4 linked regions of the Drosophila melanogaster genome follow. The protein of the gene in region 4 interacts with the protein of the main gene of each other region in a pairwise test. Each region holds a gene or a part of one and is shown on either strand. Other genes may lie near its edges. The genes, in order: CG10589, CG14325, ced-6 and Cyp9f2.

Evidence for each region.
Region 1: the proteins of Cyp9f2 (region 4) and CG10589 interact in a two-hybrid assay, tested with the Drosophila melanogaster proteins (one large-scale study listed by BioGRID).
Region 2: the proteins of Cyp9f2 (region 4) and CG14325 interact in a two-hybrid assay, tested with the Drosophila melanogaster proteins (one large-scale study listed by BioGRID).
Region 3: the proteins of Cyp9f2 (region 4) and ced-6 interact in a two-hybrid assay, tested with the Drosophila melanogaster proteins (one large-scale study listed by BioGRID).

What each region holds. Positions count from the first base shown.
Region 1 is NT_037436.4:20,926,132-20,929,748, reverse strand, and holds CG10589 (uncharacterized protein), read right to left. Parts: upstream 1,902-3,617; 5' UTR 1,799-1,901; coding exon 638-1,798; 3' UTR 559-637; downstream 1-558. Other genes in the region: fng (fringe), read left to right, coding at 1,902-2,040, 2,876-3,050, 3,114-3,349.
Region 2 is NT_033777.3:17,625,324-17,629,559, forward strand, and holds CG14325 (uncharacterized protein), read left to right. Parts: upstream 1-1,803; coding exon 1,804-2,011; intron 2,012-2,245; coding exon 2,246-2,599; intron 2,600-2,757; coding exon 2,758-2,935; intron 2,936-2,988; coding exon 2,989-3,185; intron 3,186-3,243; coding exon 3,244-3,689; downstream 3,690-4,236. Other genes in the region: AttD (Attacin-D), read left to right, coding at 1-161, 239-623.
Region 3 is NT_033778.4:9,441,931-9,446,797, reverse strand, and holds the start of ced-6 (ced-6), read left to right. Parts: upstream 1-1,860; 5' UTR 1,861-2,114; coding exon 2,115-2,125; intron 2,126-4,867. Other genes in the region: Camta (Calmodulin-binding transcription activator), read right to left, coding at 287-365. UniProt on the Drosophila melanogaster protein: Plays a role in axon pruning in larval mushroom body neurons during metamorphosis. Plays a role in the infiltration of glial cell processes into mushroom body lobes and the subsequent engulfment of degenerating axon branches.
Region 4 is NT_033777.3:12,402,780-12,407,887, reverse strand, and holds Cyp9f2 (cytochrome P450 9f2), read left to right. Parts: upstream 1-1,859; 5' UTR 1,860-1,979; coding exon 1,980-2,185; intron 2,186-2,998; coding exon 2,999-3,518; intron 3,519-3,579; coding exon 3,580-4,237; intron 4,238-4,294; coding exon 4,295-4,461; 3' UTR 4,462-4,548; downstream 4,549-5,108. Other genes in the region: CG5167 (uncharacterized protein), read right to left, coding at 1-1,164; Sol1, read right to left, coding at 5,008-5,108. UniProt on the Drosophila melanogaster protein: May be involved in the metabolism of insect hormones and in the breakdown of synthetic insecticides.

The sequences.
Region 1 (3,617 bases), on a different chromosome or scaffold from region 4:
ATACTTACGAGCTCGGCGAAAGTCGCGAATCCCCAGAAATGTACTTGGCAAGTCGAAGAAGATGATACTCTACACATGTACAGAAATATACATTTCTTTTGAACCATTTATTGGTTTTAGCTTCTAGTAGTTACCCTTAATATCCATTCAATGTAAGTCCTTATTTTAACAGATACCTGTCCGCTAGATATCCACAATATTGCAGCCAAAATTTAAGCAGAAAGCGTACTAAATCTGATTACCCGGAATTGCAGTGTATAAATTTCTCTTTATCGAGCCTCCCCTTTGCGGAATCCAAGTAAATTCCCGCGTTACCAATATCATCTTTAAGGGGATCCCCTCAACGAAAGGGGAACTGCACCCATAGCGAAGCCTACGATAATGATGGTCAGCGCGGACCTTTCAGCTGCCGCTTAATGCCATCATTAGTCCACCGTGGGCTACCGGATATGGCTGATCGTTTGTCACTATAAAAACTGCAGCTGCACTCTGGGCTTTGCAGACATAGCTCTTACCTTCAACCCGGGTAATTGCAATCTAAATTAGTGCACTTTTTATATGCGGCTTAACGGACACAGCCTTGAGTTGTATTCTTTATTGCGGAAACTAATCGATTTGGATGGCGACTAGCTGTAAGTTATACTGGGTAGTGGTCCTGACCGGATATACAGGAATTACGAACGCCATAGATGGCGTCATTAGCTTCGGGCAACTTGCAGACTTTGCCAGAGGCAGGACGAGCAAGACGTTGGGAGAGGACACTCAGATCAAGGTTGTTTACTCGCACCATTAGGGTAGGTTCCTTCTCCACAGATCTACAGACCACGATCTTCTGACAATTTACCGGTGATCCGGTTAACTTGGGAGGCAGGTGCCTGACCGGAGCGTCCGGGAATAGTCCCATGGTTTGAGGACCGACGTCGACACCCACTTTGGGACTATTACAGGATAGACAAGATAGCCCCGTATTGATAAATCCAGCGGCCCTGGGACATGCATCCTTATCCTCAATCAATCTCAGCCGGCGATCTATATCATCGAAGCGATCGCGTATATACTTCTTAAGAGCAGGCATATGCACCTTATCCAGCTTGCTGTCGAGCATATCCTGCAGTTCCTCCATGGTTCCCAGAAAAGTAAGGTTGTATTCCTGAACAAGAGTCCTCAGACCTTCGATCTCCACCACACATTGCTTGACTATTTCCAAACGATTAAATAAAGCTTCGGTTTGCTTAAGAAAAGCCTCAAGTGTGAGGTAGAACTTCTCCAGCTTGTGGCTGACCTCTTCCATTCGGTCCAGAATGGGTGTGGCTATACGTCGCATTAGCTTTTTCATGAAGTCCATGTTGGCCAGCAGACTGCATGCGATCTTGTTGTCCTCATCGCAAACGGTGCACAGATCCTCGCAAGGAGAGGCGTACTGTTCGGCCTGGTTGATCTTGTACTTCTTGTCCTTGGCCTTGTTGCAAATGCGAATCTGCTGAAAGTGACACTCCAACTTGCACTCCAGCTGCTTGATGCGTTTGTCCAACTCTTGAACTTTATCCAATTGCTCGGAAATTGGAACAATAGCCTCCACGTCGAAGGGCAGTGGAGATATTTTGGATTGCTCGAGAATGCGCTCCATACACTTGCCCTCGAAGCCACTTATCCTTACCATATCATTCTGACAGTTCAGTTTCTTGAGAAGGACATTCAAAAGACTTTGGAGTACAGCCACATTTACGTGGGTTAACTCGGGCACACCCAAAGCAATCCTGGTCATTTCCTCTAGGGTTAAATCCAAATGAGCTGGCATTTTTGCACGTTTTTAATTGTTCAAATATAGTAAAAGAAATATAAGAATTTTAGTTTGAGTGAACTCGAATTCGAATGTGTTTAACTCTGATACTGTTTTCCAGGTGGTTCTGTCACTTCGACGATGACAACTATGTCAATGTGCCGAGGCTGGTCAAACTGCTGGACGAGTATAGCCCCAGTGTGGATTGGTATCTGGGCAAGCCGAGCATCTCGTCGCCGCTGGAGATCCACTTGGACAGCGTAAGTGCAAATGCCAGTTATTTTTGCATATTTTCCTATATAGTTCGTAATTACAAGCCTGACTGCGATCGCCTTTCTCCATCTTCTGGCCCGGCCCAAAAGCCGAACCGTGGCCGTTATTTATGTTACCACCAGGGCCATTTGTCTATGCCGCCATTTGGCTTCCAGCTGCCAGCGCAAGCTATCATTAATAACCGATATGATCTGGCGCGGCAAAAGAGTAACAGCAATAGCAATAGCAATAGCAATAGCAGCAGCAGTCTGTATACGAGTCCCAGTTTGAGTCCGAATTTGAACCCGTTTTTCAGTCCGATCCATTTGATATACCGCGAGCTGATCCCGTAATGAATGTACAGGCCATAGTTTTATCGGTTTAGCCAGGTTTGCCAGGGATGTGAGCAAAAGCAACCAGGTAAACTGCGTGCTCAGAAATCCATTCAAAATCTGGCACACCAAACCAATCCAGCCCTGATCGCTGCAGCGTGCATAATTAAAAACCCCAAACTTTACGCTTCATTTGCGGGAGAAAGATCCTGTCGAGTCTCGGCTTACTTTTGGTCCAGACCCATGTATTAAGTTTCCAGCTCGCACATGTCCATTTACATGGTCAATTAATCAAGCCACGTTTCGGTATTAAGCTTCTTTTTCGGTTTTCATTTCGAGTCAATTTTCTCTGGGCCATTGCCAAAAACCAGAAATAAGACGAAGATAAAAAAAAGGATATTTATTTGGGTTTAGCCTTTGGTTTAGTCATCCTCTTTTTTTGGGCTACCCATTCATGAACCAGTTCTTCCGTTAATCTTGGCCCTCTTCTCCACTTTCTTTCGACCTGCAGAAGAACACGACAACAAACAAGAAGATAACCTTCTGGTTCGCCACTGGCGGCGCTGGCTTCTGCCTCAGTCGAGCCCTGACTTTAAAAATGCTACCCATAGCAGGTGGTGGCAAGTTTATCAGCATTGGCGACAAGATACGTTTTCCGGATGATGTCACAATGGGTTTTATTATTGGTGAGTTTGTGCGGAGTAAGCCAAAGTGACCCTGAACTTATATATATATTATTTTATATACAGAACACCTTCTGAAAGTTCCTCTAACCGTGGTGGACAACTTCCACTCGCATTTGGAGCCCATGGAGTTCATACGCCAGGATACGTTCCAGGACCAGGTGTCCTTCAGCTATGCCCACATGAAAAACCAGTGGAACGTGATCAAGGTGGACGGCTTCGATATGAAAACCGATCCCAAGCGCTTCTACTCCCTGCACTGCCAGCTTTTCCCCTACTTCAGCTTCTGCCCGCCCAGATGAACTGGTTGATCCCGATCCGAGGTCCCTGGGGATCCTATTTGGCTGTTGCAGGCGCACGTCTGCACTGGGTCGGTTGTGAACCGCTGGGGCAGGCGTCAAAATCAAATCTCGCCACTGTGATTTAACATTAAGTTTATAGTATACGAGCAACGAAAGGTTCTTTGTATATATATATGTAGCAATACGCTGGACAGATGTGCTTCCTAATGGTATAAGTAATACTGTAGCTGTAGGTCTTGCAATTCCAACACTTCCAAGTGCTTCCCTA
Region 2 (4,236 bases), 5.2 Mb from region 4:
ATGGAATGTCAGGCTTCAGGAAACCCAAAGAGCGGAGCGGCAACCGCCCAATGCGGAGTAAGGGTCGGTGATGATCTTGCCAATGCTCGAGCCGGAGTATTCGCCTCCACTCCAGGCGCTGGGGGTCCGGTCACCAAGGGAGTTTATGGAGCGGTCAACGCGTAAGTCCAGTAAAAGTTCTTAAAAATGCTAAAATAAATATTATAATTTTGTAAACTTTCTTCTCTTCATCCCACAGCAATGGTCATGCACTCTCACTGCAGCATGGCCACATCGAGGGCGTGGGCAGCACTACCACTGCCGCAGCCCAAGCCAATCTCTTCCAGAGCAATAACGCCGCTCTGAATGCCACTGCATTTCACAGTCATAGCCGATCGCACGATCAGTTTGGCGGAGGACTCAATTTGCAAACTGGAACGGGTCACCAGGCGGCAGTGGGGGTCACTAGGGTTCCTCAGTTCGGCATGACCGCCGTCCAGGCTTCTGGCACAGCAAATCTGTATACCTCTCCAAGTGGCAATCTCAACCTCAACGCCACCGGAAGTGCCAATCATCACCTCAGGGGACCGATGCGCGGCAAGTCCGATTTCGGCACCGGAGTTAACTTGCGATATAATTTTTAAATCCTTTATAGTTTTATTGAAACTATTCATAGTCACATTTAGTACTTGCACGTAGCCAAGAAAAGAAACAAGTGCCGTATTTATATGCATTATATCGAAGATTAAATAAACCATGCTATTAAAAGCGCTTTCTACTTGGTAACACGCAATATCATTGAACTCTTTAAACTCCTGTCAAAGTGCACATCGATTTCCCATATTTCATCGAGTGAAATTCTACACAATAACCGAGCCACTTGGGGAAATCCTTTGGGGTTCGAAAACCCATCTACAGACGAACGTAGACCATGAGAAACAAATTTTTGACTAGTCAGCTTTTTGGCATATTTCTTTTTTTTTTTGCACCAATGTGTGCAAGCACCGCAACCGTTAAGTGCCATAAAAATAATTCAAAATAAATTGCTTTACATAAAAATTTGGTTTCGGCAGAGCAGCGCGCCCAACTGTTTTATAAGGTGTATAATTTGGCCATAATAATGCGCATCATGGCAGCATCCATCGCGGGGTTGGTTATTAATTCTCGGTCGACGCGTCGTCGAGCCCGAGACATAAATAACGCGTTTTATGCGTGAATATACTTTGCATTTTTCGCAGACACGGCGGAGTCCTAGTTAAGCCGTAAAAATTACACCAGCCAGTCAAGAAGCCCCGCCACGACTTTGACTTCCTCGAAGGACCAAGGCAAGTCATGTCAGCTGGCCTAATCCCCAGGTAGATATCCGCCTTGATTGGCCGCAATGAAAGATGCCAAGTCAATACTTTTGATACTCCCAGGGGTCCTGTGAGGACCGGTGGGCGATGGTGAGTGGGATAAACGCTGACTTGTAATGTCATGTAATTAGGGTAATAATCGGCTTGCCACTTGAGGTTTTATCCCGCAGCCCAAAACGACTTTGTTATGCAAATCTTTCTGTTGGGAAAGCAAAGATATTCGAGGAAAATTGGAAAGCTCAAATTGACCAGACTTTAAGTCATCTTTAAATGTGATGGTTTTTGGGTAACACAATCGTATTCGGAAAGTGCTCTCACCGCAACCTTTTGTTATAGTTGAATATCAATAAAGGACCTTCGCTGGCAACCGTTTCCTGGCAGCCAAGAAGCCGAACTAATAAACAATATTCAATTTTCAACTATATGAGTAACTGGAGTTTGCATATTTTGAGAGTCTAGATTTGTTAACATGGATTTCACGTACTGCGAATTCCCCAGCACCGTTTCCATTGACACCTTCAAGGCCTATTTCAATCTCACCGATGTCAAGTTGCCCAAAGTCGGCGATAAATCAGTGGACACAATCCAGATCCCCAGCGAAGACCAGGAGGACCAGACCAATCAAGCGAAAAGTCTGCGACATCTTGTTCTCGATTCCATTGTCGAGAATTGGAGTGGTGAGCATTTAACTATAAACTTGACAAGAAATCGCAAAAATTGGAATTTAGAATTCACTTTAAAATTCCTATCACTTTAAAATTCGTTGCTTAAGATGCATGAATATGTTTGTTTTTAAAAATGATGTTTACATTTTCTAAAAGCTAGATAAAGCTTAGATATTTTTAGTTAGAAAGTAGCCAGACTGACAGTCCTTGCCGAACTGATAAGATCCAGACATTGCTCATCCGCAGAGCTGCCGCTGTACCGGCAGCTGGGCCGTCGCGAGGACCGCAACTACCTCCTTAGCCATCTGGACACGCAGCTGCCGCTGCAGCTGCTCAGCGCCCACATTCGCGAGGACTTCTTCTGGCAGCGCTGCTACGGCCACCGTTGGAGGAGCGCCCCACTTCAGGCGCGGGGCAGGGAGCGGCCCTGGATCAACATCTACATGGAGCGACATGTGCAGGAGTTTATTGAAAACATGCCGACGGGCGACTATGAGCAGGATGGCAACGTTCAGGTCGTCCTGGACATCTGTGCGGCGTACATAAATCAGTTGGAGATAAGTTTCCTTCAACCCGCCCCGCCCACAACCGATGCGAATGGTGAGTCTCGAATGGGAAACACCCTGGGTTTACTTGTTGCAATGGCATTCTTCATACTTCAAGCATTATGCTTGTCCCAACTTTGTCAAAGTTTATTTCGGAATATTTATCAAATTAGCGAGGGTATGAAATATTCGAAATTCCCCACCCATCTACAGATCACATTCCGCTTGATTACCTACTGAGCAATCTGCCGGATTTACGCCAACTGCGACTGAGTTACAGCACCAAGACGGTGGGTTGCAATTACCAAATGGGCTGCAACCAACTGACTGTCAGGGATATTCTACACTTGACCAAGGGACTCAGTCAGTGCCACGAGTTGAGGACGTTCTGGTGAGGACCGGCTGCTCCACAAAAGTGCCTTCTGCAATTCTTTTGAGTTTCAGCCTGCACAACACGAAGTTAATGCCATATCAGTTACGATTCCTGGCTCACAGTTTGGATAAAGGATGTCACCATCTGACCGAAATGTCCTTGCTGCACTGTGCAGTGGGAGATGCGGGAATCCGCTGCTTCTTGGAGACGTGCGGCAAGGAGTCCTTCGGCACTCTCACTGTCCTCGATTTGACTAATAACAAGATCAGTAAGTACATAAATAATTGGCATTTCATATCTTGCCTCATGAAGTATTTATATTCCAGCTGAAGAAGGGGCTTACATTCTTAGTCGCACCCTGAGGCATGTTCCCCTCGAGAAACTGGTGCTTCGCTTGAATCCCATTCAAAGTGACGGAGCTGCGGCCATCTTCAACACACTTCAGGTCATGCCCATCAAGGAGTTGGATCTGGGAACTTGTGGAATTACAGAAACGATTACCAAATTGTTTATGATGCTGATTTGCCAACACACGAGCCTGTTGGAAATAGATCTGTCGAATAATTCCTTGGGAGAGGACTTTGGCAAGCATTTGATGAAGATAATTAGCTGCAACAAGCTTCTTGAGAGGTTGGACCTTCGAAATACAGGTCTATCGTTAGATATGCGTAGGAAATTTCAAGAATTTCTGCTTAAAAATGTGGATCGTAAGAAGCACGAGGCCTTGAAGCAAAAGCAACGGGATAAGTTTAAGGCCATGATGCAGCTATAAATACTATTAGATATTTGTGTTTTACAACTGAACATTATGATAAATAAATATTTAGCAAAAAATAAATTCCAACTGTTTCCGCCCGGGATTGAACCGGGGGCCTTCCGCGTGTTAGGCGGATGTGATAACCACTACACCACGGAAACTCGGATGACGAACGTTTTCCTCATAGACAATTTAAGACAAGTTAGCAAATATATCTGTTATAATAAAAGCACAAAGTAATTATAAAATGTAATTATAGGAAATAATTTAAAAAGTGCACGCTTATATAGTGGTTTGCCTCTATCCCACTCTCCTCCCAATGGTATTGCAACAACTTAAGCAGCAAGCCGTGAAGCTACATACCTACCTCGAAGCTTTCAAGCCAACTTTCATTAACCCTCGACCTTGTTGACTTAAGCCAACAAAAACAATGGTAACCCCATCAAGATTGCCAAGGACCCAACTCTCTGAACCCATCTGTCCTTTTCTAATGGCCTGGGCTAGCAACAGCGACAAAAACAACAACCAACTAAGTGGAAACACTTGAAAATGAGTTGGAAAA
Region 3 (4,867 bases), on a different chromosome or scaffold from region 4:
GGCGTAATACTAAAGAGATTTCAGTATTGACAGGAAAGGCGTAATATGGCACAGCGGCCACCAATGGGTTAATGGCCCAAAGAAACCCCCAACAACGTGAAAACAAAACGCAACGCAAAGCGAAACACAACAAAACAAAAACTAATTGGAAAACCAATATCGAGGAGAGCACGACTATCAGGTCGAAAATCGGGAGATACGTGGGCTACAGCACAGATATAACTTACATATATGCATGTAGAAGAGGGATGGGTGATAGGGGTAGGGGGAGTTGGGGCTAACTTACTTTGGAGTTTCAGTGTGGAAGTTGAATTAGAAGTAGAAGAGGACGAAGCGCTGGTGGAAATATCGGGCACATTTTCCATGTGCACAGCTTTAACAACCAATTTTAGAATGCACTACTCTCTTAGCGGTTGGCACATTTATTTCGCTTTATTGAGAATGCATTTTCATTTTTGCACACCAGCTCGCACGCACACACACACAGGTGACATGGGCGCTCGCACACGCACACAGCGACACCGAAATCGCAGAACTCTGGGATATCGAAAAAAGGTAAACAAAACTTTTTCACTGCCTCCCTGTGCGCAAGCCGTGGAGTCCCTTGGCGGATTTCGATGTGCTTCAGCTGGACGATGCATAAAATGCAACAAAAATCAATAATATCACCGTTTCACACACGAAATTATTAAAAAAAAACGATAGCGAAAATATTTTGAGCTACTCCAAAACTGTGTGCATGTCAAACTGTCAAACATATGACGGCAAAGTTGCCAGATGTTGCAAAGGGCGAGCTCCCACAAAACTTAACGACAATGATTTCGAATTTTTTAAAATTGATAACTTATTATACAAGAAAGCAAGAATACTTTACAAGCCAATAACCTTGTAATCTTAACCTTACAAGTCTATGTTTGATATAAATTAGTTTAAACTATATCTAACCATCTGGCAGCACCCCAAGTGTTCCACTTATCGGCTTATCGGTCAAGATGACAACTCCAACATTCAATTATCGGAAATCGGGCACTATATTTAAAATATCGTATTGAATTTCAAATCCGGGTTTTGTTAGTCATTTTTTATACGTTTTATAATTATTTTCTTTCTGTTGAATTTTAAACTCCGATGTATCCCGCCGTGTCCGCTGTTTACCGCCGACGTCCAGCTGACGGTTCCACCCTTCTTTAACTTACATATGTATATGTACATTTCAACGAATCTAGTATACCCTTTCAGTCTACGAAAATTTTAATCTTAGTTCAATCAAATGATGTATATTAGTATATAGGTACATAGTCGATGGCCTCGGTTATATTATCTTAAATAAATAAATAATGAAGGATTGATGAATTTATAATGCATATTTGTCTTAAAAACGCTGAGATTGGTTTGCTTGGACGTGAGCAGGAAGTTCTATTCCTGCGACTTTTGTTAGAACCCAAGGAAAATATTACATACCATTCTAGTTCTTAGCTTAGTTCAATCATAAAGTTATATGTCAAAATCCTTTAAGAGGAGCATGCAAATGGGAAGTAAAATGGGCGTAAAATGTAAATGACATTTTGTGTAATTCGCATATGTACATTTGTATATTGTAAGCTATCAAAATATATGTATGTTTGTATGTATGTACAGCCCTTGAGACCGCCCATCATTGATAGGCAACGACTTTCGCCGAACTTTCCTTGGATTTTTCCAGCAGCCGACCCCGCGGTTTTCCGACCCCGCCTCGCTTCCCTCCGCTTCCCGCGACCAGCGGAAGTCTCGGGGCTCTGGCTCTATCAAAATCAACGGGCGGGGCGACTGAAGCGAACACAGAATAATTGCCATAGCTGTGTGCCAGTGCCAGTCAGTGCCAGCAGTTTGAAATCGACGACAACATCAGCAGCAACAAGCATTGCAACAACAGCGACGGCGCGGTGATAAGTCGGCTGCTGGCTGTATATTGCCGCTGGCTTGTTATTTTATTGTCGCTTTTGTTGCACATTGAAAATAATACACAAAATAATTGAATTACTCGAAATGTGTGCATGTCCGTGTGCGTGCCACTTGTGTATGTATGTGTGTGTGTCGTGCCTTTATGGGGGCGTTCAGGGCCCCGCTGATAAGCGATGATCAAGAGGTAAACGAGATAAGCGCTGCTCATTTGGAAGCACAGGCAACACGCGCTAAATGAACCCGCCAACTTGATAATCCGCGATCCCAGAAAACAAAATATTTGTCTTCTGAATTATCTTGTAATGATAATTTGACAGTTATTGTATATTAAGAAGGTCAATGTTTACTTATGGGAAGCATAATAAAGCTGAAATTAGAATTTTATGTTTATATCTATAGTTAGGATAATATGATATTCTCTCAATATTGCTACATTACATTGCTGGCTATAATTTAGGCATTGGAATTAATCCGAATCGCGTTGCTTGTTTGATTTGCAGCTTTGAGTTTCTTATTTACATATGTATATGCATTTTGTGGCACTTTGACAGTACTCCCCACTTTTGATTTCCTACAGTGTTCCCCGTGCTCGTCGACATGTGATAAGGAGCGTGAGGTGGAAACGTGACTCTCGGCGGGGCGGGCATCGGCACGTAAATTATGCTGATGACACCGGCTCCGCACCCAGGCTCTGAAAAAGCTGAAAAGCCCGAAAAACTGAGCGAGCGATTGCGCTTGAAAAATACCAGCACGTTCCTACGAGCTGCAAAGCAACAAGAATAACTGGCTTCGGCTGCCATTTTATTGCAGCGCACAAATATTTACAATACCATTTAATGACATTTCGCCTTATAAAACAATGAGTGAGAAACGTATTTTCTGGTTTCATGCATTTTATTTGGCTAATTGGGCCTTTGAACTCTATTGCTTTGATGATGAAAACGACGCCAAGATAACGTCATGTGCGACGAAACAAGCATTCGAAGTCACGCCCCCTCAGGACTCCCCTCAGCGCGCCCAACGAGCATACGCAGTCAACGCCCCTTGGCGACGATAACAATTCAAAAGAGACCCCGATCAAAATGCAATAGCGAGTTTTTAAAAGCCATTATTACTTGCAAATGGGGGGCAGATCGAACGCCCCCTCAATAAGTGCACATTGAACCATGTTGTTGGTGCCAGTTTCGCTGAGCCCTTCTAGGTTCTCCGTAGTACGAAAAATATCTATGTACTTATGTATAAAGCCAAGTCTCGTAGACATTTCTTCCAAGAAACACAATGTCGTTAAACAAACCTTTTAAAAATCCACATATGACTTCATTAGTTTGTTGCAAGCTTATGAATACATTCAATGTAGTTTTAATGAGTGGAAGCGGTTTAACTAGCAAGGTTGCAGTTTGAAAAGCCCAAAAATAGCGTTGCCCTTTGTTGCATAGGTCACCCTGTTGCTCCACGGAAAATCTCTCAATGAAAAGCCGTTCGGAGTCTTCCTTTTGGCCGGCGGAAAGGAAACTGGTAATAAAATTACAGCGGGAGAGAAAATAATAGCTGCAATATCTGCTGTCGGCGGCGCAGCTAGCGGCCTCTAACTGTAAATGGCCAATATTAAGCGGAGAGAAAAGCCGAAACAGGAGCTTAAAAGTCCGGCGAAGAGATAAAGAGAGAGAGATCGCGGTGACAGAGAGCGGGTGTGGGAAAATTGTACGTATGCCCAGATGCAGCGAAACGACAAGGAGAGTACTGTGGGCCAAACAAAGTTAAAATTCCCTGGGCCAGGAGGAATGCCTGAAATGATCTTATTAGTAAAGTTTTCCGTACAGAAACTTACTTGATCTTTAAAAAGCTGTTTATTCCCGTTTAAGGGTTTCAACCTCATTTACAGCCTTTAATATCGTTTACCTAGAAACCGAACAGCTATTAAATATTAAGTACCATAAGCTATTTGTGGTTTTCAGGCTTTCACGCCAATTTATTTTGCTAAACGGCTTTTGCATTCCACAGTGCCTGCATCCAAACTGAAACTACAATTGCAGTGGCCCCACACACACACATACCCTCATCACGCACACTCCTTTATGTCAAGCCGGTTTTATTTTGGTTAGTGAAGAGAGAGGGGCGGTTAAAGGGGAAGGGACTGCAGTTAAAATGTGGCAAAATGGAAAAGGAAAATGTGTACTAGAAAAATGCAAGGCATGCCACCAAACAATAACAACACCACTGCAGCATCGAAAGCAACAATTGGACACCGAATAACGACAACAATAATCAAATCCTGGTACATTATTATATGGTCGACTTGGGGAACCAGTTTTATTGCAATTTGTATTTGAAGCGGCCAAACAGCCCCAGAAATTACGTATTACGAAAATAAATAAATTTTTCTCTAAGCTGCTTCTGCTTCTTCGTCTTGTGCGGCTAATAACAAAAACAACGGCAATGCTGTGTCTTTGTTTTTACGTCAGGTCGAGATTACAAGCATACATATAGCTATAAGCAGGTTACATGTGTGTGAGCGCACTTCCCCCACCTGTTGCAGTAATTTTAATTGGCCAAAACCATTTCGGTGGAATCTCGAGACAGTGCCGTATGTTCTGGCATTTGTGGAAAATCATTTTTCTGGCAAAATGTAAAACAATTGAAAAGCAACAGGTAAACCAGCAGAAATACCCACACACACACATGCGGGCATTACTAAGCAGACATATGTTTGTGTGGCAGTGAGGCTCCAACCGCAAAAGAGAAAACTACAGCCGATCACGTTCTCACCTACACAAAACTCGTAGGTCATTTTGCTGGGGCACAACGACTTCAAGTGCATATGCCCTCATATTAGCTAAAAAATAAATCCTTTAATTTTCGGTAATATTCGGTTTTTTTTTTAAATCAACAAGCATTAAAATGAATAGTTCAATTTTTATATTATTTT
Region 4 (5,108 bases):
GAGGATGGTCTTCGCCGTGGAGAGCAGTGCAACGCAAGTGGATCCATAGCCGGGATTGGGACCCGTAACCCTCACGGTCAGTGTCTTTGTGGGCGGAGAGGTGTACTGATCGGTGGTCTCGGCTAGTTTTTCGGACTTGGGCCAGCCTGTGGCCTTCATGGTCATTCTGAAGAAGGAGCGCTCCATCCGCGCCTCACTGGGACCCTCGCGGGAAGCCATGCCGCCGGAGAAGACGGTGGGGTACTTAAGCAGCAGCTGGCGGCCAAAGGAGAACTTGGCCATAATGCCAATGATAGAGGCGAAGAGCACGACAACGCTGGCCGCAAACCATGAGGGATACGTCATGTAGGCCTGCATCTGAACGGGTCGCTTCTTCTCCAGTTCGTAAAGGAAACGCTGCGAGCGCATCACCACCGAGCGATCTGTTTCAGGGAACGGCAGGATCACCTTGTTGTCCACTTCCGCGGCACGGGAAAGCGGCGATCGTGACTTAAGAGCCGGATGAAAGTTGGGCAGACGCTCGGGAAACAACTTGCGCCGGATGGCCACAGACTCGCTCCGGTTGGCGATAGCGTGAATGGCGCTCTCCCAGGTGCCGGTGTTGAGTGCAGCACTGCCCGTTCCCTTGGTACCTCCCTTGACGCCCAGATGGACAAAGTTCTCCACTGAGTTGACCACGCCGTCGAAGTTCTTCTCCACGAAGGTGACTCCCATGTCGGCGGGAATGGAATCAAAGCCGCACGCACTGATCACGTACACGCCACGCTCCTTGGCGAGATCATGGTAGCGCAGCTGCATGGTTTCCATGTACTGTGGCTCTCCGCTTACGTCTACGTGATGCGTTCCCGCCTCGATGCAAGCCCTGACCACTCGCTCGCCGAAGAACCGATATGGTCCGGCCGTATTGACTAAAATGCGGCAGCGTTTGGCCATCTCTAGCAGTGACGCCTCGTTGTTCACGTCCGCGATGACGATCGGCGTTTGGGAGAGGTCTGTCTTGGACTTTGCACCCATCTCCCGCAGCACCGACTGCAGCTTCTCCTGGTTGCGTCCGGCGATGCCCCATTGCAGGCCCTTCAGCACGCTGACAGCCTCGAAGACGGTGTACTTTCCGGTAAACCCGGAGGCACCGAAGATTATGGCATCCAGTTTCTTAGCCGCCATTCCAGAGTCCACAGATATGCGACTATAATGATTTGACTAGAAATGTCTTATCACTTCCAGACCGAAAGGTAATTCGTCTGCTTCGGCCGACTGGCGAAATGTTAATAATGCTAATCGCACCGTATAAGAGCTGTATTTATTGAAGATAGTAGCGTCGTGACTGTACAAAACTGAATCGAACAGGTAAAGATCGATTGCAGATAGCAACAAGTGGCTAGTAACTCGGATAATGAAGTTGAAATGAAATAAAATATTTTTACTAGAAACTATTGAAAATGAAAATGCTTTGCGTCCTTTTTTATCGATGATAATTTAATTTATGGTGATGATGGTTTAATTTACATCCTAATACTTAAAATCCCTCAGATCAAATTGTTAGTTCTCGAACTACTACGCATAAACTTCGATAGCCAACAAGAAATCGATGAATTTTAAAACGATAAATTGGCCAAGTTTAAATATATGAATTTAATGAAGTTGTGTGCCATTAAAATAGAAAAAATATATATTAAAGAATTAGAAAACAGAATTTCGAAATATTCTGTTTCTATATTTTAAACATAATATTGGTATGCTCAGAGTCGTCAGCATTTTCTCCAACACGCCGTGATAATGAAATGATGAGTGATATTCTAAATCATTTGCGCTCAGAAATTTGTACATACTTGTGTGTATTACAGACAACAAGTATTTTATCAAATGCAGTACACGAAGCTTTGTTAGAAAGCTCTGCGTGGGGACAACAAAACGCTCCCGATTGTTTGTGGCGTAGTTAGTTATATTCTGGACGCTTAGATCGCCAAGCTAGGGTCAACATGTTGTGGGAGTTCTTCGCCCTATTTGCGATCGCTGCCGCCTTGTTCTACCGTTGGGCGTCCGCCAACAATGATTTCTTCAAGGATAGGGGCATCGCCTATGAAAAGCCAGTGCTCTACTTTGGCAACATGGCCGGCATGTTCCTGCGGAAGAGGGCCATGTTTGACATAGTCTGTGATCTCTACACCAAAGGCGGAAGTAAGAAGTGAGTTAAATTCATTGATCCGGATTTAATAAGTTGATTACCTAATATGCATCCGGCTCACTTGCACTTGCACTTAAAACACGTTTGGAACAAGTGTGTATCTACTGGCCTCCAGCATTGCGTACAAGCCTATATAAAATCGTATGTCAAGGTCAGGCAATCAGTGATCTATCTATACACACATTTAGTGGGTGCGGCTGCGTTCGACTACGTTTTGAATATACAATTACAGAAATTCAGAAATACTCTATTATATTTTGTTAAGTCTTTTATCTAAAGCAGTGTGTAACTGCCAAGATAATTGGCGAAATGCTTGGTTCTATTAGTTTAGTTTGCCATAATCTTATCGATTATACGACAGCTTTAAATGTTGTTTGTCTCGGACGGCAAACTTGATAGGAAAAATAATTGATAAAGCTCCTGAAAAGTGCTATAACGATAAGGTTATCTAATTTATTAATTAACTTCATATTGGGGCAACTCTTTGTATGACTTTACCCTTTTTGTTACTTTATAAACATGCAATCATTATTGTACTCAGCCTTTTCAATTGGATTTAATGTACATATGATTTATTTATAGACCAATACGAGAAATCCGCTTTATAAATTTATAGTTTTCCAAAAAGAAATCGAGATGGGTTAATTGAAAATTCGTCGGATAGGTAATGAACAACGCTAGCCATGCATAAACTCGAATTTCTGTTATCGTTTTCTAAACTTGTTGAGCGCACGATTAATAATTTCTGATTTGATTTATCAGTGTGTGACTCACAAAAAGCTTATCGGTCATTAACATTATTATTTTTTTTAGATTTTTTGGTATCTTTGAGCAGCGACAACCACTTTTAATGGTGCGCGACCCAGATCTTATCAAGCAGATAACCATAAAGGACTTCGATCACTTTATCAATCATCGCAATGTGTTTGCCACCAGCAGCGATGATGATCCACATGACATGAGTAACCTTTTCGGCAGCTCGCTGTTCTCCATGCGAGATGCTCGGTGGAAGGATATGCGAAGCACTCTGAGTCCGGCATTTACAGGCAGCAAAATGCGTCAGATGTTCCAGCTGATGAACCAGGTGGCCAAGGAGGCCGTGGACTGTCTTAAGCAGGATGATTCAAGGGTTCAGGAGAATGAACTGGACATGAAGGACTACTGCACACGATTCACCAATGATGTGATCGCCTCGACAGCCTTTGGACTGCAAGTGAACTCGTTCAAGGATCGCGAAAATACCTTCTATCAGATGGGAAAAAAGCTGACCACATTTACATTCCTGCAGAGCATGAAGTTCATGTTGTTCTTCGCATTGAAGGGTCTTAATAAGGTTGGCACAGCATACACACATATCAAAAAAATATATTCCTTAATTTTAATAATCCTTGTAGATCCTTAAGGTCGAGCTTTTCGATAGGAAAAGCACTCAGTATTTCGTGCGTCTGGTGCTCGATGCTATGAAATACCGACAGGAGCACAATATTGTACGTCCCGACATGATAAACATGCTGATGGAGGCTCGTGGTATCATCCAGACGGAGAAGACCAAGGCATCTGCCGTTCGCGAGTGGAGCGATCGCGACATTGTCGCCCAGTGTTTCGTGTTCTTCTTTGCTGGCTTCGAGACTTCGGCGGTGCTGATGTGCTTCACCGCTCACGAGCTAATGGAGAACCAGGATGTGCAGCAGAGGCTATACGAGGAGGTACAGCAAGTGGACCAAGACCTGGAGGGCAAAGAACTGACCTATGAGGCAATTATGGGCATGAAGTATCTGGATCAGGTCGTCAACGAGGTTCTGCGAAAGTGGCCGGCGGCAATTGCCGTCGATCGAGAATGCAACAAGGATATCACCTTCGATGTGGATGGCCAGAAAGTCGAGGTCAAGAAGGGCGATGTCATCTGGCTGCCTACATGCGGCTTCCATCGTGATCCCAAGTACTTTGAGAACCCTATGAAGTTCGATCCGGAACGTTTTAGCGATGAGAACAAGGAGTCTATTCAGCCATTCACATACTTCCCCTTTGGCCTGGGTCAACGCAACTGCATTGGTAAGTTGATTGATTCAAAATTGTTCTTCGAAAAAATGTAAAATGTATTTATTATAGGTTCCCGATTCGCTCTACTTGAAGCAAAGGCTGTTATCTACTATCTTTTGAAGGACTACCGCTTTGCCCCTGCCAAGAAATCCTGCATTCCACTAGAGCTCATTACTTCCGGTTTTCAGTTGTCACCCAAAGGCGGCTTTTGGATTAAACTTGTTCAAAGGAACTAATCTTATAAACGATCAAAATAATAATATGTTTTGTTGAATGTTATGTTTTAAAGAAGTTGACATTATTAAATTTAAACAATTAATGGTAATTTGTTTCTTTGTTTTTAATTTATACCAAAAATGATAAAAAGATAGCATATACTTATGTCGTGACTCTACAAAACTGAATCGAACAGGTAAAGATCGATTGCAGATAACAACGAGTGGCTCGTTTACACGGTAACTCTGATAATGAAGTTGAAATTAAATAAATAATTTTTACCAGAAACTATTGAAAATGAAAATGCTTGGCGGAGTTTTTATCGATGATATCACGTTTAATTTACATCCTAATACTTAAAATCCCTCAACTTAAATTGTTAGTTCTTGAACTACTACGCATAAACTTCGATAGCCAACATGAAATCGATTGCTTTTAAAACGATAATTTGGCCAAGATTAAATATTTAAATTTAATGAAGTTGTGTGCCATTAAAATAGAAAAAAATTATTAAAATTTATTAAAGAATTAGAAAACAAAATTTCGAAATATTTTGTCTCTATATTTTAAACATAAGATTGGTATGCTTTATAAGTGCATAAGATACATGCAATTAATTTGTTTACATTTGCAACCGGCTGAGTTGACGCTGTTGAGACGAAACTCT